2 linked regions of the Xenopus tropicalis genome follow. The protein of the gene in region 1 interacts with the protein of each later gene in a biochemical or structural test. Links are inferred from orthologs where the notes say so. Each region holds a gene or a part of one and is shown in the gene's direction. Other genes may lie near its edges.

Region 1 (12,544 bases):
GCAGCAGCCCTTGTTAGATTTTGTGATCATTGTGAGGGAAAAGTAGGTTGCACTAAAGAGAAGGAGGAGAGAACTGTGAGTCTTTCAGGCAGGGACTGAGATTGTGCAGACAGAAAAAGGGACGAAAAAGGAACAAAAGCAAGATCAGGGTAATGAGGGCAAAGAATCAATAAATGACAGTAGCAGGATGGAGAGGAAGAAGTGGGGACTGGATGGAGCAGAGCGGAGCAGAGCGGAGCAGGCCCAGGATGTAGAGGGCAAATAATCGGTGACTAGATAGAGTGAAATGGAGCGGGCAAGGAGGCTGGAGCAGGACTGGAGCAAGACAGGAAGAAGAATTTGAGAAAGGCAGGAAGAAGAACTGGAGCAAGGCAGGAACAAGCTAGGGCAGGAACTGAGATAAGGACAAGACAAGAGCAGGAACGGGTACAGAGATGGGAACATGGTCAGAGCAAGAGCAGGAACAGGAGCCAAAGCAAGGGACAGAGAGCTAGGGTCATGCCGTGCTCAGTGCAAAGGCCAATGCTCAGGCACTAGATGTGAGGAGGGCTGGGCTTATATAGGAAAGAGTCGGCGACGACTGGTGACCCCACCCAACCAAAAAGGCTGCTGGGGTTATGTAACATAGGTAGAGAAACAGGTGAAAAGGAGATGAGCACTTGCTGGCTGCTCCCCTGGCACAGGGTTAGAGAAAGCCACTAACCAGGAAGTGCCAGGATCAAACCCCAGAGCCTTTATGTTTATATAGAGGGCTTCACCAGTGGACTGCCGGTTTGTTTCACTGTGCTCATACAAACCAGAAAGTAGAATGTGATTTTACTTTCAATCATATATTTTTCCCTCTTTAGTACAAAAAATAACAACCACAATACATATTTCCTAATGAAAACAACTGGCAAAAATATGTTCGGCAAAAGCTGTTTTTTTTTTTAAATTCATGTTGACAAGGGGGTATACTGCACAGCTGAAGAAATGCAACATAGTCAATGGCAGAATCAAATAACAGGCAAACATTTCTGCAGGAAGTTACAGATGGTAACTTACAGATGGTAAATGAAGTAGATGAAATAATACTATGATAATCCACTGCAATAATAAAGTGGCGGAAATACATTATATTTTCTGGCTAAGAAATAAATCCTTTTATATTGGATTATAACATATTATTTCAATCTTTTTTTGTTGTTTCTAGACTTGATACATCCTTAGATTATAACAGCGCGAGTTTCAAATTCATTTAATTAAAAGTAAAAGACATTATGAATGGTACATGTATTTTGTTGCCCTTTTTACATTTTTCCTTGTGAAAAAATGGCCAGAAATCACCCATGTGAGGATATATGTGCCCCCTTTTCCACCTGCATATCCAACATATAAAGAGGTCACAAATATACAGAGTTGACTTTTGTTCTTTGTACTTAATACCACCTAACTCTCTATAGCTGGGCAGGCCTTTGCAGAAACATCAGAAAGAAAGATTTGAGAGACCCATGTTCCATTGCTGGTTAACTCCTATGACCATAGGCTACTCACTTGGTAGGTGCTTCTGTCCTTACTACCTCATAAGGCACTTAGTACCCCATTCAGGCAAGCCTTAATGATGTGCAAGCTAGTGGCCGGGTAGTCTGCCCCTCATGAATACAGCTTGGAAGTTCTGTATTCTTGGGGGCAGTGTAGGTCCTTGCATTCCATTTTGGAGGGCAAACACCTGTGCCCATTGGCAAAATACAAAAAACATGGTGGCCTGCATCTGTTTATTGTACTTTGTACCCTGCCTTATACATGATAAATGACCCCTCCTGTGCCTCAGTTGGCTAAATGAGATTATTGGGTTTTTTAGGATGGTCCTTATTATGTCTGAATAATTACAGTACTGGTCTTGATAAAAACCTTGCTAGTATAAAAACCTTGCTAAGTATTAAGGTAGTAATAACATGTGTTGTTATCTTTGTCTATGCTAGTTATTTCATAATATTCCAAAACCCAGTAATATTCCAAATCCAGACCTGATAAAAAATGACAATATTGGTGCTTCAGCTTGGTTCTTAGAATGGTTAGAGGCATTAAAGGCTGTTTGCAGCTGCAGCATGTATGTCTCTAGCTAGCCAGAACACATCAAACTTTTATATTCACTCTGGCAGCAACTGGAACCATATATATTCTTACAGAGAAATCATGCTATAGGAAATTAGCTCAGTTGCACTTTCATTGCCCAACCCATTTTTAGCCACTTCTGTTGTGTCACCCCAATCTGTGATTCCTACCCTAGAGTGGGTGCAGTGACATGTGACCAACCTCATCTCAGTCATATAAAGAATAGTAAAAAATATACATAGTAACTTCATCCCCATTCCCATCTCCATTGTAATTACTGACACCAGCAACCCAGGGGGCACAAGTTCTCTGTAAGTGAGCACTAAGGGAAGGGGTCTTGCTCTACTTAGCACTCCTATACTTGTGCCAGTGGGAAGATAAATGACCCCTATAAGCGTATATAAGCTGTTATATTATATATTGTTCACATTGAAAATATTTTTTCTGCAGATGGCTTTTATTCCCCCATTAGTCTCATAATGTGGTCTGAGTGTGCATAGGCTGCATGAAATGAGTAGTACTACACCTGTCCCTTGATGGTGGTGGGCAACGGGAGCTGCTGCTCACACTTTTTCTATCTACCAGAAAATATGACTATGGATATTTTCATTCATCCAGGTCATGGTATATCTAGTATAGGTTTTAGTGTAACTGAGCCTTAAAGAGCAGCATAGGGAGTGATTTCACACAGGTTTAGAATAGTTATTGACCTATTGATTTATGAAATCCAAATGCCAGACTGTTGAGACAAGCTAGGTTTAACTGAAGTATTTGGCAGTATCCTTTCTTTTTTCCAATTAAATGAAAGGTGAGGTAAATTGCAAGTACATTGTGCACTGGCTGTACCATTTATATCTGCTTCATCTTTATGTATGGGTTTCTTTAATCAAGGGGAAAGTCAGTGAAAACATACACAGGAACTTAGCAAAGGCAATTATAGAAGACTGAATACATCTGGGATGGCGAGAAGATTTACAGAGGACAAAAATACAAAGCAAATGGTTGTCCATAGCAAGTGAAGGATGATTATTTTTGTAGGTGCTCTGCTCTAAGGCCTTTAAGGAACAGTCAAGTGTAAAAATGAAATTGGGTAAAATGGATAGAGTATGCAAAATAAAAAATGTTTGCAATAGAGTTAGGCAAAAATGTAAGCTATAAAGGCTGGAGTGAGCAGATGTCTAACATAATAGCCAGAACACTACTGTCTGCTTTCAGCTCTCTAACCTCTTAGTCACTGACTTTAGGGGGGCCACATGGGACATAACTGTTCAGTTAGTTTGTGAGAATGCAGGTCAGATTCCTGAGTTCCTGAGAAATGGTACACGTTTCTGATCTCAGCAAATCTCAGAACAGTACTGTATCTGGCTGACTGGTTAGTAGAGCCTAGTCAGCTGCCATTGGTTAGTAGGTCATGAGTTATGAGCGGCATGTAGACTCACACTGTCTCAGCCCCTAATAATGAATCCTTGCCAATAGTTCTTAAAATAACTCATTACAAATGGCTGTAACTAACAGCAGATGAGCCCAAGAGATGGTCAAGGGGTGTGGCACAGTGGTTAAGCAACATGTGTACAGCACTTCATACTATACAAATGGGACCTGTTATCTAAATGCACGGGACCTGGAGTTTACAGGATAAGGGATCTTTCTTTAATTTAATTATACCTTATATCTACTAAAAATGATTTAAACATCACATAAACCCAATAGAATAGTGTTGCCTCCAATAACAACAAATTATATTTTAGTTGAGATAAAGTAAAAGATACTGTTTTATTATTAAATTATTTGGTTAAAATGGAGTCTGTGGGAGATGGACTTCACGTAATTTGGAGCCCTCTGGATTATGGGTCTCCAGATAATGGACTCCACACCTCTATTGATAAATGGGTAAAGGTGATAACACAAATATATGAAGCAAGTACACCTCAGGGATAACAAATACCCTATTGGGTTTATTATTTGCCCAACTAACCAGAGCAACTTCTACTATTAATTTTTGGTCTCTTTAAACCAAAAGTGTAATTCTACTACTAAAAATAGTAACTGTTATACTATGTGCAATGGTAACTATTAAGAATACTACTACTCATCTGGAGTTTTGGATGCTTGCAATCCTTGGCCTGTGAGTACAATCCCTGCACTTAGTCCCAGAGTTAATCCCCTGAGCTGACTGCTTGCTTACAATACATATTCGCAATCCAGATTATATTAAAAGCATGTCCTGTCTATGCAAAAACTCCATTGAATTCCTAGATTTCATGGAGTCGCTGGAAGGCATAAAACGCACATATTGGTTATGTATTAAAAGACACTAAGTTGCCAGTTACAGTGCAACATCCAGCCCACTGGCCTCTAGTTGGACAGCCCATGTTGAAATAACAGAATAAACTATTATGGGTACCTTATAGACTTCTTCCTTCCCTCACTGTCATAACTGTAGTATTGCAGAATGAGCAGATCTGGGCCTGATTTGCCCCTGGGTCATTTTGGGCTGATCATTAGCCCTGGGGGCATTGGGACCTATGAAAGCCTGTCAAATGATGACCACACCAAAATGCTGATGCAGTCCACAGTTGATGGAATTTTCAAACCTGCCTGATTGATATCTGGATGATTTTCAGCCAAATATCGGTCAACCAGGCCCCATGCACAGGCTAATAAGCTGCTGACTCAGTTGACAGCTTTAAATGGCCCATGTATGGCCAGCTTTCATTCTTGTAGAACACATGCACAAGACATTGCTCATAAAGTAAACAGAGCGAATTAAAGGACACGTAAACTATGACAAAATAAACTTGCACCTGCATGGGAAATTATTGCACAAGGAAAGAGAGATTAACAAAATTTAAAAGGTAAAATATTCACCCGCCTCTGACATATACTGGTTTTTATACATCACCATATTGTTGTATCAGTTATTGCCTTTATTCTGTATTGTGCGCAAGAATCAGCCTTTTGTCTATTGTATTCTCTGTATCAGATGTACCTAACCACTGCATTCTAAATCAAATATAAATATGATATTCTCAGTGCTCCTTTATCAACCCAGACATTACATATGAATGTATATGGCACTCTTGAATGCAAGGCAGCAATAAACAGAAGGGAAAAATGACACTATAGCATAAATTCAAATGGGCAGTACATCGGGAATATAAAATACTATTTTTGTTTTATTTTTCCTGTATTGGTATCATTATTTTTAGGGCATTATTTTAGAGCATTATTTTTAATGTAATGAGATATACAGAAACACACAATCCAATTAAAAGCATACACACAGATTAATAAGCATATATACATTATATATATATATATATATATATATATACACACATGTATATGTACTCCTATTGTTCTGTCTAAATGAATGTGTTCTATATAAATAAATAATATAACTGTTACATGAACTTGAATACTAAAAAGGTTTTTAAAGGGGAATTTTTCTTTTGTCCTTTTTTTTCCCCTAGCTGAATCCTCCAGGGAGAATCCCTTCTTTTTCAGATGTAAAAAAAAGTTTTGATGTCAGGCAACAGCTAAAAAGTGGATCAGATTTCGTGAATGTTTTCTATATTTATCTGCGTGATTTAATGCTGGGCAGAGGGTTTAAATGGCATCAAACAGTTGGTGTGAAGAGTAGAAGAGCAGTTGCTGTGTAGTTGTCGAAAGGAAACACTTCTAGGCAGCCCTGTATGATGGAGCTTTTTGAAACCAGCCCTTATTTCTTTCCAGACCAAAGGTTTTATGACAATGATAACTATTTCTCTGCGAGGCTCCCTACATATGAGCAAACTGGGTTTCAAGATCGTGGCACTGTGGGGATATGTGCGGATGGGGTTTTATTGCAGGGCTCAGGAATTGAAGACAAGGTTTCTCCCCATCCCACTGTAACCCAACAAGAACATTGCCCTGGCCAATGCTTGCCATGGGCCTGCAAGGTATGCAAGAGGAAGACGGTTTCCATGGACAGAAGGAGGGCTGCTACCTTACGGGAAAAGCGCAGGTTAAAAAAAGTTAACGAGGCATTTGAAGCCCTGAAAAGAAGCACTCTGTTGAACCCTAACCAAAGGCTTCCAAAGGTTGAAATCTTAAGGAGCGCCATCCAGTATATAGAACGCTTGCAGACACTATTGGCTTCCCTTAACCAGCAGGAGAGGGACCAGAGAGATTTATTATTCATCAGTAATGGATCCCAACGGGTGGTAGGTAAAATCTTGTATAGAGTTTATCAATGTGCTTCATCCTGGAATCTTAATTGTTTTACACAGGCATGCCTACACATATACACCTAACAACCTTCTCTGAGCCACACTACACTGAACATAAATCAGCACACTATCTGTTTTAGTGTCATTATTTTCTCTGATTTATGTGCTAGTAATAACCAGGATCTACAATAAGCCAATGTGTCATAAAGCCACTAGGGAAGGGGTTTTTAAGATGAAGGGGGGGGGGTACTTAGCTATTGCTAAGTGAAATTAGGTCAGTTTTTAGATCTATTTAAATGTTTTACTTATTATTATAAGAATTTTCCTGTGTTTAGAATTTCACCATGTATAATTGTATGACAATATACATGGCTTATATTATATAAGCAGAAATAATGCTGTTGATGGAAATGATAAGAGGGCCTACATTGTGTGAAACAGCAGGTATGTCCAGTTATGATATACAATACCTGTTGGGCAAAGAGCTGTACATAACCCTGCTAGAAGCAAAACGTTTGTAAAGTGGAAAAGAAGGTAGGTTTAACCAGGAAAAGATCAAAGTCACAAAAATTGTGACATTTAAGGGCATTGAGGTCATTGTTGTGCTAAGAAATATATATCTTACCTTATCCTCTGCATTTGTGTCATTTGACTCAGTTTTATAGAACTCTCCAGTATAAAAAATAATTAAATTAAATGAAAAATCATTAAATTAAATAAAAAACATTCAAAGAATAATATATAGAGGATAAATATATGGAGCATTAACAATAATAATGAATATATTTAAGTTTAATATCATTGAGAGACAAAGCTCAGATCTTTCATCATCAACTTCTTTGACAAGTTTGAGGATACAAAACCTATAGTATAAGCATATACAATCAAGCTACACTAATCCAGACAAACTGCAATGTACCGACATATCTTCTGACCATATAGAAGGTATTATAAACTTACCGCTGTAGCTGTTGCAGAGCCATAATGTGAAAAGTCATTTCTCCATTGTGTTAATTTTGCAAAGCTACAGAGGCAAAATGATTGTTTTAAATATTATCTAGACAATACAGCAAGTACGATATTAAAGGGGTTAAATTAATACACACTGTTATTGCAGCAGACATATATAGTGATTTTTTTAGTAGGGATTAAGAGAAGGAGCAGAGAATAAAGAGAAATAATATAGTAGAATGCATGTTTTTAGTATGTTTCTTTAATGTATGTCAGTTTCTAGTATACTTGTTATGATTCCTTGTCTAAACCAGTTGTAAGGTCTTTAAATTCAGGGACAGCTGTCTAAATCTGTATATTCCTTTTCTGTGACCTTGATCACTGAATTTCAATAGGGTTTTTGTCTTCAGTAAGACTAGAGTAAAGCAAATGCATGTGCTTAGTTCCACTGTGTGTATATATATATACCACCATGAGATAGTGTAAGGATATATTGATATATTCGACAAAGTATAGAAATATAAGTAGAATTACTTTGTTTCATGGATAATTGGCAGGATTGCATTAAATAAATTCCAGTGTCTTTAGAACTTTCAATTATTGGCAAAATGTTTTCATCTAGGCAAACATGATTTTTTTTATTCTTTAAAAATACATACACACGTATTGTTTTTAAAATCTATGATATATTGATTTGTTGGTGCAATGGTACATATTAGGCAACATATTTCAACTAATCAAAACTGTGCAATTTGGCAATTCATGTGCATGTGCAAATTTCCTACTATCTCATACCTCAGCCAATGGCTGACCAATTAGTGCACACAAAATTGGCCTATGTCTGGCCAGCTTAGCTGTCTCTGTGAGGCAAAAATTATGGCCACAGTTTAAAGTCTAGAAATCATTGCTGTAGAGGAGGCAGCCTGTATAATTGCTATCTTGCACTTGCAACTAACGACCGGAAAGTGAATAAAATGCACTGTAAATAAACAGTAGAATATGGATCTCTCCTATACAGTCTGTATTGGTCGCTAACTCCTTTCAAGCCCTAAAGCCATATATTGGGAAATCTGAACTTTATCTGAGAGTAATAAAGGGCTCAGCTGACTGCATGATCCTAAAGCATTAGAATCATATTGATCCAGATATAATTACTGTCAGTGGCTGAAGAAGCTAACTTTCTCCCACTTTGCTAGATATAGATGTAAGATTGTAAGCCTGGAAAATTCACAATACTGCTAATATTGACTTGAGAGTACATTTATACAATTTATACTTTCACCACACTGAGCTGTGGCTCCCATTAGCTACGTTGCCAGAGCACTGTAAGGCACCCTCAAAGTAATGACATCTGACATATTTACATTCAGGTTGCAAAGCCTCTATAACTGCACCACTCTTCCTCATTCAGCCATACGTGCACAAAAAATGTTCATTAATCATCCATTATTTAAAAACTATGTGTGTGATCATAGCATGTGTCTGTATCTCCTATATATTGCTTTGGACTATTCAACTGACCTATTGATTTCAGGGCTTATATTAGGACACTTTAGTCAGCCATCAGAGAAATCTTTCATTGTGTTTCACACATAACTGCCATGGCTTTTCGATGTGACCCTTAAACTCAATATATCAATGGTATGGGGTCATTTTTTTTTAATGTAACCCTGACCCTTAATTTGCTGAACATAGTTACTTGCTGACTGCTTTGTAAAAAGCAAGACATTCCATTATTTGAAATGAATACTTTGTAAAATGCGTATAGATATAGTTGCAGTTTCTGGAATTTAAGGAAACCTGAAATTTCATCTTCCTTATAGTGTAGTATCAGAGGCTTTCATTAACAAACTTTCTGTGTGCAGATCTGTGCCTCTGTTCCACCATTAATGTGTAATGTTCTTGTCTTGCTCAATCTCCAGTAAATGAACCTCTCTCTCTCATAATGGGGAATTGCAAATTTCATTCATTTCCCAGTGACAAGCATGACCCCAGTAGACAGATGTGCACATGTATTATGATATGCATAATATACTCAGCAGTACAGTGCTTTTGTGCATTCTGCCTGTAATAATACAATGCTGTTCATATAATATAAATTAGCTGTAGAAATTCTGCACGCGTCAGCAATTTATTTCTTTTTACTATTTTTTTGAGGTGGACAATTAGGTATTAATATTATTTTTGTAGAGTCTGAATATTTAATTAAAAAATCAGTACATCTGAGACAAAGTTATAATATTTGTGTAGATGTCCCCTTACTTCTGTATACATACATATATTTATGTATTGTAGTGTCCTACTTGGCAACATTCTAGTAGTTCTTAATTTGCTAAAGGAAGTTCCATACATGTAACTTCTGTGCTTAACACATATCTCTGTAACTTACACCTGGCTTGTGCTTTTCAGTCCCTTTTCAGGTAACTGTTCATTATTATTTAGTCACCTCTGGAAAGTATGACAGCATACTATATTAAAACGAAAAAAGCAAACAAAAAATGAAAACTTTGGTGTCAGGGCAAAGGGCAAACAACGGCAAATTACAGGACATCTATCTCCCATAGACTCCATTTTAATCAAACATTTAATTTAAATGTTTCCCTTTTTCTCTGTAATAATAAAACAGAACATTGTACTTTATACCTACTATGATATTATTCATTCTTACTGGAGGCAAAACAATCCTGTTAGGTTTATTTAATGTTTAAATGATTTTTAGTAGACTTAAGGTATGGGATCCAGAAAGACCCCTTATCTGAAAAATCCCAGCTCCCAAGCATTCTGGATAATAGGTCCCCTACCTGTAAAATAATCAGTACTATATGTAATATAATGACTTTTTTATTGCAGGTATCAAGTGAATGTGGGTCAAGCTCTTCCTCTTGTAGTCCTGAATGGAACGATTCTGACTTTAGTGGCAGCCAAAGTGGTAAGTAATTTGACCATGGAGTTCAGTTTTACAGAGAAATTCATCTGTCCAACCACCACTGAAAAAAATAAAAAAATAAGAACATGATTTGATTTTGAATACATATTGGATGAAGATGCTTAAAGCTTATGTTTAAATGTTATTCCTGGATCAGAAATGGCAACATTCATTGGCTTCAATTTAAAAAAGCATATATACAGAACATGGCTTATAAATCATCTAAACTAGATATTCCTCTCTGGGGTGTTTCCTGGGTGAACCTTGATGTTGAATCAACATTTGCTAGACCTTTGTGATCAATTAACTATGGTTGTTTTTATATATTTATCTCAGAGTAGTTTATAGAGAGCTGCCAGTAAGTCCAGCTGCTGTGCTGGCCCTTTTCATTCACTGCATGGACAAAAACAACATTTTCTTTAAGGAAAATGTATTCACACCTGCTTTTGAGGAAACTTTACACTGGCAAAGTCAAAAGAACACTTTTTATGTCAATGCTTAATAAAAACAGGCAATGATGTTTACATGAAGAAGGTGGATTCTGCTTGTGGTGGCTGCACTTATTTCCCTGTTTTAACCCTGTGTTGCTTTTGAAATAAAGAAGAAAGGAAACAGTGTTCAGCATTGATCAGTCTAATGCAGGTATAATAAGGAAAAGGCTGTGAAAATGTATCCAACATTAGTAAAATAGATGGGGGTGTAATTTGTATTCTGGTATACACACAAAAGAGAAGAAAGTCAGCCCTTTCCCAAAGTAACATTAGAACAACCTCATCATTTCTTGTATACTTACAAGATTATATTTTCATTAAAATAAAAAGTAGAGAACATTGTTTTCCTAGAAAGGTCAAATGGTCTGGATGTTAATGGATTAAACTGGGACAGAAATCCCTTTAGGGCTTCAGACTGTACATTAAAAATTATGCGCACCATTAAAAAAAATCACATGTTCACAATAAATAGTTTCAAAGTAAATAAATAACTGGTTGCAGTGGTAATATTTAATTGAACCAACCAGAGCTGGTGGTTCTATAAAGAGTAGGTCAAGTGGCAGAATAAGGTGACCTACGCTCTTTGGCATCATGGAATGAAGAATTAGATATTATAAATGTTATTTAATCAGTTATTTTTCTGGATATAGGAATCTGGTTGACTGGAATGCATTTTGTAATGGTTTATAGAAAAAGAGTCTTAAAAAATCATGACAGAATGATATGCAGCAGTTATATTCTGATTCAGTCATTCTGTACAAATATGCTAATGCTGCGGAGTGGAAGAGAAATACTAAATTGGGCTAAATTTATTGAATGTTGACTGTTTTTTTTCAACCCAATGTTGAGATACATGTTGATATATATATATAAGCAATAATTCTATGTAGGCATTCACGATTTGTCTTCATAAGTTTGCCTGATTGCAGGTCCAATTTGTAGATCAAATAGTTTTGTCAACAGGATACCGCTTCACACGACTTATGAATATATATTGGATATTACATCCCCTTCTGTAATTTAAAAAGACATTGGAAATCACAAGATGTTACCTAACCATTTAAAAGCACAAGGCCACAGGCCAAGTTCCTTTATACAGGACATGTAATTCCAAGATAAATTCTAAAATCTTTACATTTTTCATTATAATTTATTGCTCAATGTCAGCTGATTCGAAATTTACTAAGAGCACTCTCTAAACTGCATGTCTTTTAAAACTCTGCCCCCTCCTTTGTTCAGAAACTGTAACTATAGCAACACAGACCCCTCTGACCATTCAGTCACTGAGGGTCCGCCTAGAGAGGTCCCACTGGTAGCCTACAACTCCCACTAACACCATGGGGCTGGTGACAACACAAAGACCCCATTCCCACCAGGTACATAACCTGGAACCCTCCATTTCTGCCTCCCTGCTAGCATAGAACTTTTTTGCGAGGGACCCAGGTATGGTTGGTGATGTGGCCCCTGATATCGATGGTTATGTTTCTGCCTCCATTTCCTTTCTTTACCACCACTATGTTTCCCTTCATTTCCCCTGTCTCCATTCCCCTACACTTCCATCCCCCCCCCCCCCATAGCCTACACTTCTGTCAACTACCCCCTTGCTTCTGCTCCTGACTGTATATCCTCCAGTAAGCTTTCCTCCCCTTCACAATTACTACCTGTGATGAGGGAGTTCTTAGGTCTGTATGGCAGCACTGGGCAGAGACAGAGCAGGTGGTTAGTCATTTTCTGGTACTGACATGAGAGTACCAGCCTATCCGTGCCACAGATTCTGTGTTTCTTGTTTCCTTTTGATACATTGTGCACTGTGTGTTTCCTGGCAACGTGCAATATCAAAAAGTGCCAGCACAAAAAGGGTTAAACTGCAG
Region 2 (12,685 bases), on another chromosome or scaffold:
TACCCATATGTATAAATACAAATATACAGAGAAGGAATGTTCTGGGCACACAATAAGCTGTACCCCCATACTGTACTGTCTAAGGGAAACACTATGGCACCCCCTACCCATATGTATAAATACAAATATACAGAGAAGGAATGTTCTGGGCACACAATAAGCTGTACCCCCATACTGTACTGTCTAAGGGAAACACTATGGCACCTCCTACCCATATGTATATAGAAAGTTGGAATGTTCTGGGCAATATTAATTTACCAGAATAACCGTATATCTCCTGTTTAACCCCATGGCTTTCCCATGTGGGTTATCGGGTGACACAGTACAGGCTGCAGCAGGAATGTGGTGACATAATGGAGAATTTCCATGAGGCAAGTGATAAGATGACACCTTGTCTCCGTTACCTTGTAACCTCTCCGGGTTCTGCTACTTGACTTCTGTCACACAGGGGAGACAGGGCCCCTCTCCCACCCACCCTTTATAGAATAATCTGCCATTATCAGTAAGAACCTCCCCTGAGGCTTGTGAAAGGTACCAGGATGCTTTCAGCAGCTATCTGGTTGCTAGGGTTCAAATTACCTTAGCAACTGGGGAGTGGTTTGAATGAGAGACTGGCAAATGAATAGGAGAGGAACTGAATATAAAAAGTAACAAATTGTAGCCTCACAGAGCTATATTATTTTGGCTGCTGGGGTCAGTGACCCCTCTTTGAAGGCTGGAAAGAATAAAAAAACTATATATATATAAAAATAAAATGAAGACCAATTGAAAAGTTGCTCCAGCCTAGGCTCCAATTCCCACAATGCCTTGCATGCTCTGTGCTGTAAAAGACCTGGGAGGTGTGCAAGGCATTGTGGGAAATGTAGTCCAGGTTGGAGTGTTTGTTGTGATGTATTGGGTCACTGCGGCTCTCATAACAGCAGTTCATACCTACAAGGTTGCCAAAGTACCAACTCCATAGCAACGCTTACCCTAAAGTAAATGTGCACCAATTACGCTTTGCTTTTCACTCTTCCCCTAACTGCTAGTTGCTAGGGTCAGTGACACCCAACAACCAAATAATGACAGGCCTGATTTTTACTGCCATTCTGTTTGGACCTTCTCCTATTCACCTCTGAGTCTTCTATTCAAACCACTGCCTCATTGCTAGGGTAATTGGGTCCCTAGCAACCAGAGACATCACATTCTGCATGAGAGCCCCACAGACTGACAGTAATGAATATGGGGATCTCCTAGGGGAAGGTAGGTTGGGTCATTGTACCTTATGTGAGGGTTAGAAAACGGGGCAGTTGTTAATAAAAATACTAAATATTTGCCCTGTGTGCTCAATTGGTTGCCCCGAGGCTCCCATTCGCCTACAAATGCCTTCTCCCCGCCCACTATCCTACCTGGGAGCCAGTAGGAGCAGAGATACTATGGGGCCAGTGATGCTTTGTATCTTTCCCTGCCCCAGTGTTCCCATGAGTCAGAGGCCGGGGGGGGGGGCATCGGGCAATTGCCCAGGGGGGGGGCTATTTCAGGGACAGAGAGATGGGGTTTGTGGCTATGAATAGTGAGTGGGAATCCTGGGTAATAAGTGGAGTCAGCTGGCAGATTTAGCTCCGTGCCCTCCTCCTCCTGCTCCCAGCAGCCCCTTTATCTGCCATTCCTTTGCCATGTACACATGCACTAAATCCGGCCCAAATCTGCCCCACATGCTACATGGCTGGGTGCAATTACAGGAGTTGCACCGGGACCCTCCTACTGGGCTCCTGTACCTTGGCCCTTAGCCAATCGCTCAATTGGTTTATTCTTTTGTCTCTGTCATTCATTTGGATTCAGCAGCATTCTCATTGGTCAGTTCATTTGCATCTGTAATTCATTTGGATTCAGCAGCGTTCTCATTGGTCAGTTCATTTGCATCTGTAATTCATTTGGATTCAGCAGCGTTCTCATTGGTCAGTTCATTTGCATCTGTAATTCATTTGGATTCAGCAGCGTTCTCATTGGTCAGTTCATTTGCATCTGTAATTCATTTGGATTCAGCAGCGTTCTTATTGGTCAGTTCATTTGCATCTGTAATTCATTTGGATTCAGCAGCGTTCTTATTGGTCAGTTCATTTGCCTAGTGGGGCAGTTTTATGGAGGGTTCACACCCCCTTTAGCAAAGGCTATACATTTCCGTTACCCCCTTCATTCCCTATGTAGGACTCCAATCAGAGTATCCCTGGCACACAAACCACTCCCACCCACGGCTGCTAGCTCCTCCCACACAGCCTGAATGGCATCCCTGAGCCCAAACGTTACAGTCACAAACCTCATACAATAAATGGTAGTTATTAAAGGGGAAGTTCACCTTTAAATTAACTGTAAGTATGACACAGACACTGATATAACTTAAAGGTGAACCACCCCTTTAAAGGGGCAGCACTTGTGACTATTGCACCTGTTAATATTAATACTTTGTCCCTTTGTGAACTGCCCCCGGGAATTCAGCCCAATGAAAGCGATTGCAGTTCTGCTGATGTGGAAACAAATTCCGTCAGTTTTTCCTTGGCTTTCCCACAAAACTGAGCTCTGGAATAGCAATAAAATCAAGTGTGGAAAATGCCAATACGACTGCTTACTTCCCCTTTGTTCTCTAATGAGGTAGGAGGTGCCATAGTGTTTCCCTTAGACAGTACAGTATGGGGGTACAGCTTATTGTGTGCCCAGAACATTCCTTCTCTGTATATTTGTATTTATACATATGGGTAGGGGGTGCCATAGTGTTTCCCTTAGACAGTACAGTATGGGGGTACAGCTTATTGTGTGCCCAGAACATTCCTTCTCTGTATATTTGTATTTATACATATGGGTAGGGGGTGCCATAGTGTTTCCCTTAGACAGTACAGTATGGGGGTACAGCTTATTGTGTGCCCAGAACATTCCTTCTCTGTATATTTGTATTTATACATATGGGTAGGGGGTGCCATAGTGTTTCCCTTAGACAGTACAGTATGGGGGTACAGCTTATTGTGTGCCCAGAACATTCCTTCTCTGTATATTTGTATTTATACATATGGGTAGGGGGTGCCATAGTGTTTCCCTTAGACAGTACAGTATGGGGGTACAGCTTATTGTGTGCCCAGAACATTCCTTCTCTGTATATTTGTATTTATACATATGGGTAGGGGGTGCCATAGTGTTTCCCTTAGACAGTACAGTATGGGGGTACAGCTTATTGTGTGCCCAGAACATTCCTTCTCTGTATATTTGTATTTATACATATGGGTAGGGGGTGCCATAGTGTTTCCCTTAGACAGTACAGTATGGGGGTACAGCTTATTGTGTGCCCAGAACATTCCTACTCTGTATATTTGTATTTATACATATGGGTAGGAGGTGCCATAGTGTTTCCCTTAGACAGTACAGTATGGGGGTACAGCTTATTGTGTGCCCAGAACATTCCTTCTCTGTATATTTGTATTTATACATATGGGTAGGGGGTGCCATAGTGTTTCCCTTAGACAGTACAGTATGAGGGTACAGCTTATTGTGTGCCCAGAACATTCCTTCTCTGTATATTTGTATTTATACATATGGGTAGGGGGTGCCATAGTGTTTCCCTTAGACAGTACAGTATGGGGGTACAGCTTATTGTGTGCCCAGAACATTCCTTCTCTGTATATTTGTATTTATACATATGGGTAGGGGGTGCCATAGTGTTTCCCTTAGACAGTACAGTATGGGGGTACAGCTTATTGTGTGCCCAGAACATTCCTTCTCTGTATATTTGTATTTATACATATGGGTAGGGGGTGCCATAGTGTTTCCCTTAGACAGTACAGTATGGGGGTACAGCTTATTGTGTGCCCAGAACATTCCTTCTCTGTATATTTGTATTTATACATATGGGTAGGGGGTGCCACAATACAAGCTAGTAGCTGAGGGTGAATAAATACTTCCCCATGAAGTGTATGTATTTGCTCGGGGGAGGATGCCCGGTTGCTCATTCTGCACTAGGAAGTCACAGAGGATGGAGGGAGAGACACCAGATTTGGGTTTGGGTGCTATAGTAGCGGAGTTTCCCAATTCTGCTGAAAGGGTTAAACAATGAAAGTGAGAGTGAAACTGGACCCAGCGCCGGGGAAGTTCTGACCCTCCCTGCAATTCCTTTGTTATCCTGCCGCTCTGTGTGAGTCTGAGGGAAGAAATCCAGGGGTTGCTCACGTTCTATTTCGGGCCGGGTGAGTTCACAGATGTCCCACCCATTACTCAGTCCCCCCCCCCCCGGGGGGAAGAGCTTTCTGGGGAATTTAAAGGGTTCGGGGAGCCCCCGGCTCAGCACTCTGCAGACTCAGCCCTGGGGGACACACCACCTGCCTGTGAGTAGCAACGGAGGGGGGTTTTATTTGGAAAAAAATGGGGGGACATTTGGGCCAATGAACTGGGGGGCAATTAGAGTCAAGGTGGGAATTCTCTGGATAGAGGGTGGAACTTGATGGGTGCTGGGTGGCGACTGTAACTAAGGTGGCACCCATTGTACAAACAGGGCCAATCAGAAATCATATTATTACTGTACTGCTGGGCATCCCTTTGGCACTGTGGCCACTTGGGCACCAAGCCATTACCCAAAGGCTACTTGTATCCCAAACTGATCCCAGTTAAAGGGGAAATAAACCCAAACATAACAGGCAACTCGTCAGAACAAGCAGGGAGTGCTGAAGGTCACAAACATGGCGGCCCATATTGGCTATATCCAATCATCATAAGGGCCAATGCAGGCTCGTTAGGGGATGATAAAGGAGCCATAATGAGAGGGCGGCAGTTTCTGCCCCAGTCACATGGGTACCAGGAATGCCAGTCAGTGCCAAGCAATGGGTAGAAATAGCAGTGAATATATGAGATTCTGATGGCAGTGTTTCTTTAAAGGGGATGTGAAAGAGTTAATGTTTAGTATGATGTAGAGAGTCATATTCTGAGACAATTTGCAATTGGTCTTCATTTTTTATTATTTGTAGTTTTTTAATTGTTTCAATAATTGTTGAGCAGCTCTCCAGTTTGTATAACAGCTATCTGGTTGCTAAGATCCAAATTACCTTAGCAACCAGGGAGTGGTTTGAATGAGAGACTGATATATCAATAGGAGAGGGGCTGAATAAAAGAAAAAATAGGGAAAAGTACTAACAAAAAAATTGTTGCCTCGCAGAGCAATTGTTTTTGGTTGCCGGGGTCAGTGACCCCCTGTTTGAAAGCTGCAGAGTTTAAAGAAAAAGGCAAATAATTCAAAAACTGTAAGAAATAAATAATAAAGACCAATTGAAAAGTTGCTAAGAATTGGCCGTTCTATAACTGCCCCGCAGCTCCTCTCTCCGAGCCACTGACAGGCTGAAGGATGCCCATCTTGGGTGGGGGCGCCAAGTGTGGCGCTTGTGACAAGACAGTGTACCACGCCGAGGAGATCCAGTGCAATGGGAGGAGCTTCCACAAGCCGTGCTTCATCTGCAGTGAGTAGAGCGGGGCCCTCCTGCCCATCATACGTTGGCATGGTGATGGTTTCGGTGTAGGATATTTGCCCTTGCCCCTATGCTATGGGGGGAACACAGAGATCATCTTATTTCATGTTACCCTTTAGTGTGGGCGGGGTTGGTCCCTCAGTGACTGTTCATGCTGTTATGGGCGTGGCTACTCATGGTGTTGGCACTGGGGGGCCTGACCAATGGGTTAAGCTCAGCTACAGAGCTACCAACCCCATGCCAGGGAGATAGTGATCCAGCCCTGGTGTTTGTACAACCTCTTCACTTTAAAGGGTAACTTGGAATAAAGTCTCACAAGTGGATCATTATCCCCCAAACTACCCGCTTTATAAATAGATCCGGTGGCTCATTGGCGCGACTGGGGCACAGTTGTTGTGCCACCCACACTTCTGCCCCCCCCCCATGCCAGAACTTAATGCGCAGCTGATAAGTGACGAGTTTCAGAGATATTCTGACAATTCCACTTTAAAGGCTTTAGTGGCATCTGCCCTGGCACGGCGCCCGCGGTGATTCTAAGAATAGAAGCGTTTGATCTGCTCTTGGTGCCAGTGCTTGTGCCCATTATATGCCCCGATTAGTGCGGCTATCTTGGCTCTGATAACATCAGTCCAGCTGACCGCTCTCACTGCTTCTAGAACATTCCGCATAAGGAACAATATCCATAGATTAACCTGCCCTTCCCTCCATCCTACTGATACCTACAGAACCTCCGTGTACTTACCCCCAGCACTCAGTGCCCTTATGGGAAGCCCCGGGAGGCCCCAGACTGGTATTAACGCTCTCCATGTTCCCCCGGCTAGTGGTCTGCAGGAAAGCCCTGGACAGCACCACGGTGGCCGCTCACGAGTCTGAAATCTACTGCAAGTCCTGCTATGGGAGGAAATATGGCCCCAAGGGATACGGGTACGGCCAGGGCGCCGGCTGCCTCAGCACCGATACGGGGGAGCGATTTGGCATCGAAGTGGCAGAGTAAGTCCTTCTAATGTGGGATTCTGGGTAATATCCCACCTTACCCCATAATCCCACAGCACCCAGCGCTTCCCTCACAGCCAGGGATTCTGGGTAATATCCCACCTTATCTCATAATCACCCAGCACCCAGCGCTTCCCTCACAGCCAGGGATTCTGGGTAATATCCCACCTTACCCCATAATCACACAGCCCCCAGCGCTTCCCTCACAGCCAGGGATTCTGGGTAATATCCCACCTTCCCCCATAATCACACAGCACCCAGCGCTTCCCTCACAGCCAGGGATTCTGGGTAATATCCCACCTTACCCCATAATCACACAGCACCCAGCGCTTCCCTCACAGCCAGGGATTCTGGGTAATATCCCACCTTACCCCATAATCACACAGCACCCAGCGCTTCCCTCACAGCCAGGGATTCTGGGTAATATCCCACCTTACCCCATAATCACACAGCACCCAGCGCTTCCCTCACAGCCAGGGATTCTGGGTAATATCCCACCTTACCCCATAATCACACAGCCCCCAGCGCTTCCCTCACAGCCAGGGATTCTGGGTAATATCCCACCTTACCCCATAATCACACAGCACCCAGCGCTTCCCTCACAGCCAGGGATTCTGGGTAATATCCCACCTTACCCCATAATCACACAGCACCCAGCGCTTCCCTCACAGCCAGGGATTCTGGGTAATATCCCACCTTACCCCATAATCACACAGCACCCAGCGCTTCCCTCACAGCCAGGTATTCTGGGTAATATCCCACCTTACCCCATAATCACACAGCACCCAGCGCTTCCCTCACAGCCAGGGATTCTGGGTAATATCCCACCTTACCCCATAATCACACAGCACCCAGCTCTTCCCTCACAGCCAGGGATTCTGGGTAATATCCCACCTTCCTCCATAATCACACAGCACCCAGCGCTTCCCTCACAGCCAGGGATTCTGGGTAATATCCCACCTTACCCCATAATCACACAGCACCCAGCGCTTCCCTCACAGCCAGGGATTCTGGGTAATATCCCACCTTACCCCATAATCACCCAGCACCCAGCGCTTCCCTCACAGCCAGGGATTCTGGGTAATATCCTACCTTACCCCATAATCACACAGCACCCAGCACTTCCCTCACAGCCAGGGATTCTGGGTAATATCCTACCTTACCCCATAATCACACAGCACCCAGCACTTCCCTCACAGCCAGGGATTCTGGGTAATATCCCACCTTACCCCATAATCACACAGCACCCAGCGCTTCCCTCACAGCCAGGGATTCTGGGTAATATCCCACCTTACCCCATAATCACACAGCCCCCAGCGCTTCCCTCACAGCCAGGGATTCTGGGTAATATCCCACCTTCCCCCATAATCACACAGCACCCAGCGCTTCCCTCACAGCCAGGGATTCTGGGTAATATCCCACCTTACCCCATAATCACCCAGCACCCAGCGCTTCCCTCACAGCCAGGGATTCTGGGTAATATCCCACCTTACCCCATAATCACACAGCACCCAGCTCTTCCGTTACAGCCAGGGATTCTGGGTAATATCCCACCTTACCCCATAATCACACAGCACCCAGCGCTTCCCTCACAGCCAGGGATTCTGGGTAATATCCCACCTTACCCCATAATCACACAGCACCCAGCGCTTCCCCCACAGCCAGGGATTCTGGGTAATATCCCACCTTACCCCATAATCACACAGCACCCAGCGCTTCCCTCACAGCCAGGGATTCTTGGTAATATCCCACCTTACCCCATAATCACCACAGCACCCAGCGCTTCCCCCACAGCCAGGGATTCTGGGTAATATCCCACCTTACCCCATAATCACCCAGCCCCCAGCGCTTCCCTCACAGCCAGGGATTCTGGGTAATATCCTACCTTACCCCATAATCACACAGCACCCAGCGCTTCCCTCACAGCCAGGGATTCTAGGTAATATCCCACCTTACCCCATAATCACACAGCCCCCCAGCTTCCCCCACAGCCAGGGATTCTGGGTAATATCCCACCTTACCCCATAATCACCCAGCACCCAGCGCTTCCCTCACAGCCAGGGATTCTGGGTAATATCCCACCTTACCCCATAATCACACAGCACCCAGCGCTTCCCTCACAGCCAGGGATTCTGGGTAATATCCCACCTTACCCCATAATCACACAGCCCCCAGCGCTTCCCTCACAGCCAGGGATTGTGGGTAATATCCCACCTTACCCCATAATCACACAGCACCCAGCGCTTCCCTCACAGCCAGGGATTCTGGGTAATATCCCACCTTACCCCATAATCACACAGCCCCCAGCGCTTCCCTCACAGCCAGGGATTGTGGGTAATATCCCACCTTACCCCATAATCACACAGCACCCAGCGCTTCCCTCACAGCCAGGGATTCTGGGTAATATCCCACCTTACCCCATAATCACACAGCACCCAGCTCTTCCCACACAGCCAGGGATTCTGGGTAATATCCCACCTTACCCCATAATCACACAGCCCCCAGCTCTTCCCTCACAGCCAGGGATTCTGGGTAATATCCCACCTTACCCCATAATCACACAGCCCCCCAGCGCTTCCCTCACAGCCAGGGATTCTGGGTAATATCCCACCTTACCCCATAATCACACAGCCCCCAGCGCTTCCCTCACAGCCAGGGATTCTGGGTAATATCCCACCTTACCCCATAATCACACAGCACCCAGCGCTTCCCTCACAGCCAGGGATTCTGGGTAATATCCCACCTTACCCCATAATCACACAGCACCCAGCGCCTCCCTCACAGCCAGGGATTCTGGGTAATATCCCACCTTACCCCATAATCACACAGCACCCCAGCGCTTCCCTCACAGCCAGGGATTCTGGGTAATATCCCACCTTACCCCATAATCACACAGCACCCAGCGCTTCCCTCACAGCCAGGGATTCTGGGTAATATCCCACCTTACCCCATAATCACCCAGCACCCAGCTCTTCCCTCACAGCCAGGGATTCTGGGTAATATCCCACCTTAACCCATAATCACACAGCACCCAGCGCTTCCCCCACAGCCAGGGATTCTGGGTAATATCCCACCTTACCCCATAATCACCCAGCACCCAGCGCTTCCCTCACAGCCAGGCATTCTGTGTAATATCCCACCTTACCCATAATCACACAGCCCCCAGCGCTTCCCTCACAGCCAGGCATTCTGGTAATATCCCACCTTACCCCATAATCACACAGCACCCAGCGCTTCCCTCACAGCCAGGGATTGTGGGTAATATCCCACCTTACCCCATAATCACACAGCACCCAGCGTTTCCCTCACAGCCAGGCATTCTGGGTAATATCCCACCTTACCCCCTTAATCACACAGCCCCCAGCGCTTCCCTCACAGCCAGGGATTCTGGGTAATATCCCACCTTACCCCATAATCACACAGCACCCAGCTCTTCCCTCACAGCCAGGGATTCTGGGTAATATCCCACCTTACCCCATAATCACACAGCCCCCAGCGCTTCCCTCACAGCCAGGGATTCTGGGTAATATCCCACCTTACCCCATAATCACACAGCCCCCAGCGCTTCCCTCACAGCCAGGGATTCTGGGTAATATCCCACCTTACCCCATAATCACACAGCACCCAGCGCTTCCCTCACAGCCAGGGATTCTGGGTAATATCCCACCTTACCCCATAATCACACAGCACCCAGCTCTTCCCCCACAGCCAGGGATTCTGGGTAATATCCCACCTTACCCCATAATCACACAGCACCCAGCGCTTCCCTCACAGCCAGGGATTCTGGGTAATATCCCACCTTACCCCATAATCACACAGCACCCAGCGCTTCCCTCACAGCCAGGCATTCTGGGTAATATCCCACCTTACCCCATAATCACACAGCACCCAGCGCTTCCCTCACAGCCAGGGATTCTGGGTAATATCCCACCTTACCCCATAATCACACAGCCCCCAGCGCTTCCCTCACAGCCAGGCATTCTGGGTAATATCCCACCTTACCCCATAATCACACAGCACCCAGCGTTTCCCTCACAGCCAGGCATTCTGGGTAATATCCCACCTTACCCCCTTAATCACACAGCCCCCAGCGCTTCCCTCACAGCCAGGGATTCTGGGTAATATCCCACCTTACCCCATAATCACACAGCCCCCAGCGCTTCCCTCACAGCCAGGGATTCTGGGTAATATCCCACCTTACCCCATAATCACACAGCACCCAGCGCTTCCCTCACAGCCAGGGATTCTGGGTAATATCCCACCTTACCCCATAATCACACAGCCCCCAGCGCTTCCCTCACAGCCAGGGATTCTGGGTAATATCCCACCTTACCCCATAATCACACAGCCCCCAGCGCTTCCCTCACAGCCAGGGATTCTGGGTAATATCCCACCTTACCCCATAATCACACAGCTACATAACTACCTACAGATATTATCACTGTGTGAGCAAACTGTGCATTTACTCTCCGTACAATTGCGCAGATCCCACCCTGCCCGCGGATCCCCCACAACTACACATACTTCAAAATTCACGCAGAAGTTTGGTGCCACAGAGAAATGCCCCCGGTGCCAGAAATCAGTATACGCCGCCGAGAGAGTGATGGGAGGAGGGCAGGTAAGTGATTTCTGTGCTGCTCTCTGGGGTCTCTGCCCCAATAATAAATAAATAAATATATATATATATATATATATATATATATATATATATATATATATATATATATATATGTACGTACGAAAAGAACAGTAACCCCAAAAGTCTGGGAAGAGAAGCATAGCTCCCTGGTGTCGGCATTCGGGTTCTGAATAGCCCCACTCTAGAACCAACCGAGATAGATTAGTGGTCAGTTCTAGACTGGGTCACACCATAGAGGGGTCACTCACAGCGGGGCCACTTATACTGCACAGAGAATGTTCTAGAAGCGATTGCTGAAAGCTGATTGTGTGTTTTTCCCCTTTCTTCTCCTGCAGCCCTGGCACAAAACCTGCTTCCGCTGTGCCTTTTGTGGCAAAAGTCTGGACTCCACCACCGTAACGGAGAAAGATGGAGAGATATACTGCAAAGGTCTGGCAAATACAAGGGGGCGGGGCACTTAAATGGGTGGGGCTTTTACAATTTTTTTTTATATGGTTCGGTAAAGAAGTGATGTATGTATGTATATCTTTATTTATAAAGCGCTACTTACAGTATATACTTATATTACGGCATCCAAGGGCCTGCGCCTAGGTCAGCAGGTTTTGGGGGGTGGGTGCTGATATTAATAATATATGCCCCGGATTTCCATAAGAAGTCTGGTGACGGAGCTGGGGGGCGTGAGGAGTAGGGGGTCGGGTAGGTATTTCACACACATGACATAGGGGGTGTATTTAGGTGTTGGGGGGAGTGGGGAGAGTTGGGGGCACAGGGCCAGAGATAGGGGAAAGTTGGTGTCAAAGGCAGAACCAACAGCTGTTTCAGTAGGCAGAACCAGCAGTGCAATTACCAGATGGGACCTGTTATAATGGTACAGATCAAGTCAGGTGACCTTTTGTTAGGGGATTCTGGGAATTGTAGTTTGATAACAGAGAGGGCCTCAAGCTGGACTTTCTGGGGTAAAACAAACATATAAAGAAAGCAGTGATTTCTATCTAATGACACCCCACCGCCTTATACATAATACCCCTTATATCCTTCTTTCTGCCCCCAGTGTGCTATGCAAAGAGCTTTGGCCCCAAGGGGATCGGATTCGGTGGGCTCACACAGGTGGAACAGAAAGAGTCCTAGGCCTTTCTCCTTCTCACACTGAGATCTACCGCCGGTTCTCACTCAGTACTGGAAGTACCACCATTACCCGGGCAGTCGGCCTCCTCCCCACTGTGTTTGTACCAGTAGCTCAATCACTGCAGGGCGGGGCTAAATCTATCCAACCAATCAAATACCATTGGACATGGAACATTATGGCCACTTCTCTCAATTTCCTACAAACCATCATGTGATCCCATGTTTGTTATTCTGCAGTTCAGCTGATCACTGCCCCCTGTAAGGCTGTAGCGCCCTCTAGGGGATTTTTGCAGGGATTTGGAGCTGCCTCCATGCTCCCAGCCAGTGGAAGAGATCCCTACGTGTGTGCCATTTTGGGACATCCCCCGAGGAACCTGTTCACTGCATATGGGGGCTCTATGTTTAGGGGGGTTTGCCTGATAACTGGAACATAATTCAGCCTGATTATAAA

What was found.
Region 2: the proteins of myog (region 1) and csrp3 form a complex in vitro, tested with the Homo sapiens proteins (2 studies listed by BioGRID and IntAct, with this or other methods). The link is inferred for Xenopus tropicalis from reciprocal best matches to the Homo sapiens genes MYOG and CSRP3.

What each region holds. Positions count from the first base shown.
Region 1 is NC_030678.2:54,930,654-54,943,197, forward strand, and holds the start of myog (myogenin), read left to right. Parts: upstream 1-5,756; 5' UTR 5,757-5,792; coding exon 5,793-6,299; intron 6,300-10,081; exon of another isoform or gene 10,082-10,106; coding exon 10,107-10,185; exon of another isoform or gene 10,186-10,243; intron 10,244-11,571; exon of another isoform or gene 11,572-11,686; intron 11,687-12,544. UniProt on the Homo sapiens protein: Acts as a transcriptional activator that promotes transcription of muscle-specific target genes and plays a role in muscle differentiation, cell cycle exit and muscle atrophy.
Region 2 is NC_030680.2:4,235,049-4,247,733, reverse strand, and holds the start of csrp3 (cysteine and glycine-rich protein 3), read left to right. Parts: upstream 1-4,317; 5' UTR 4,318-4,346; intron 4,347-5,324; 5' UTR 5,325-5,356; coding exon 5,357-5,468; intron 5,469-6,298; coding exon 6,299-6,467; intron 6,468-10,955; coding exon 10,956-11,088; intron 11,089-11,444; coding exon 11,445-11,538; intron 11,539-12,160; coding exon 12,161-12,237; 3' UTR 12,238-12,685. UniProt on the Homo sapiens protein: Positive regulator of myogenesis. Acts as a cofactor for myogenic bHLH transcription factors such as MYOD1, and probably MYOG and MYF6.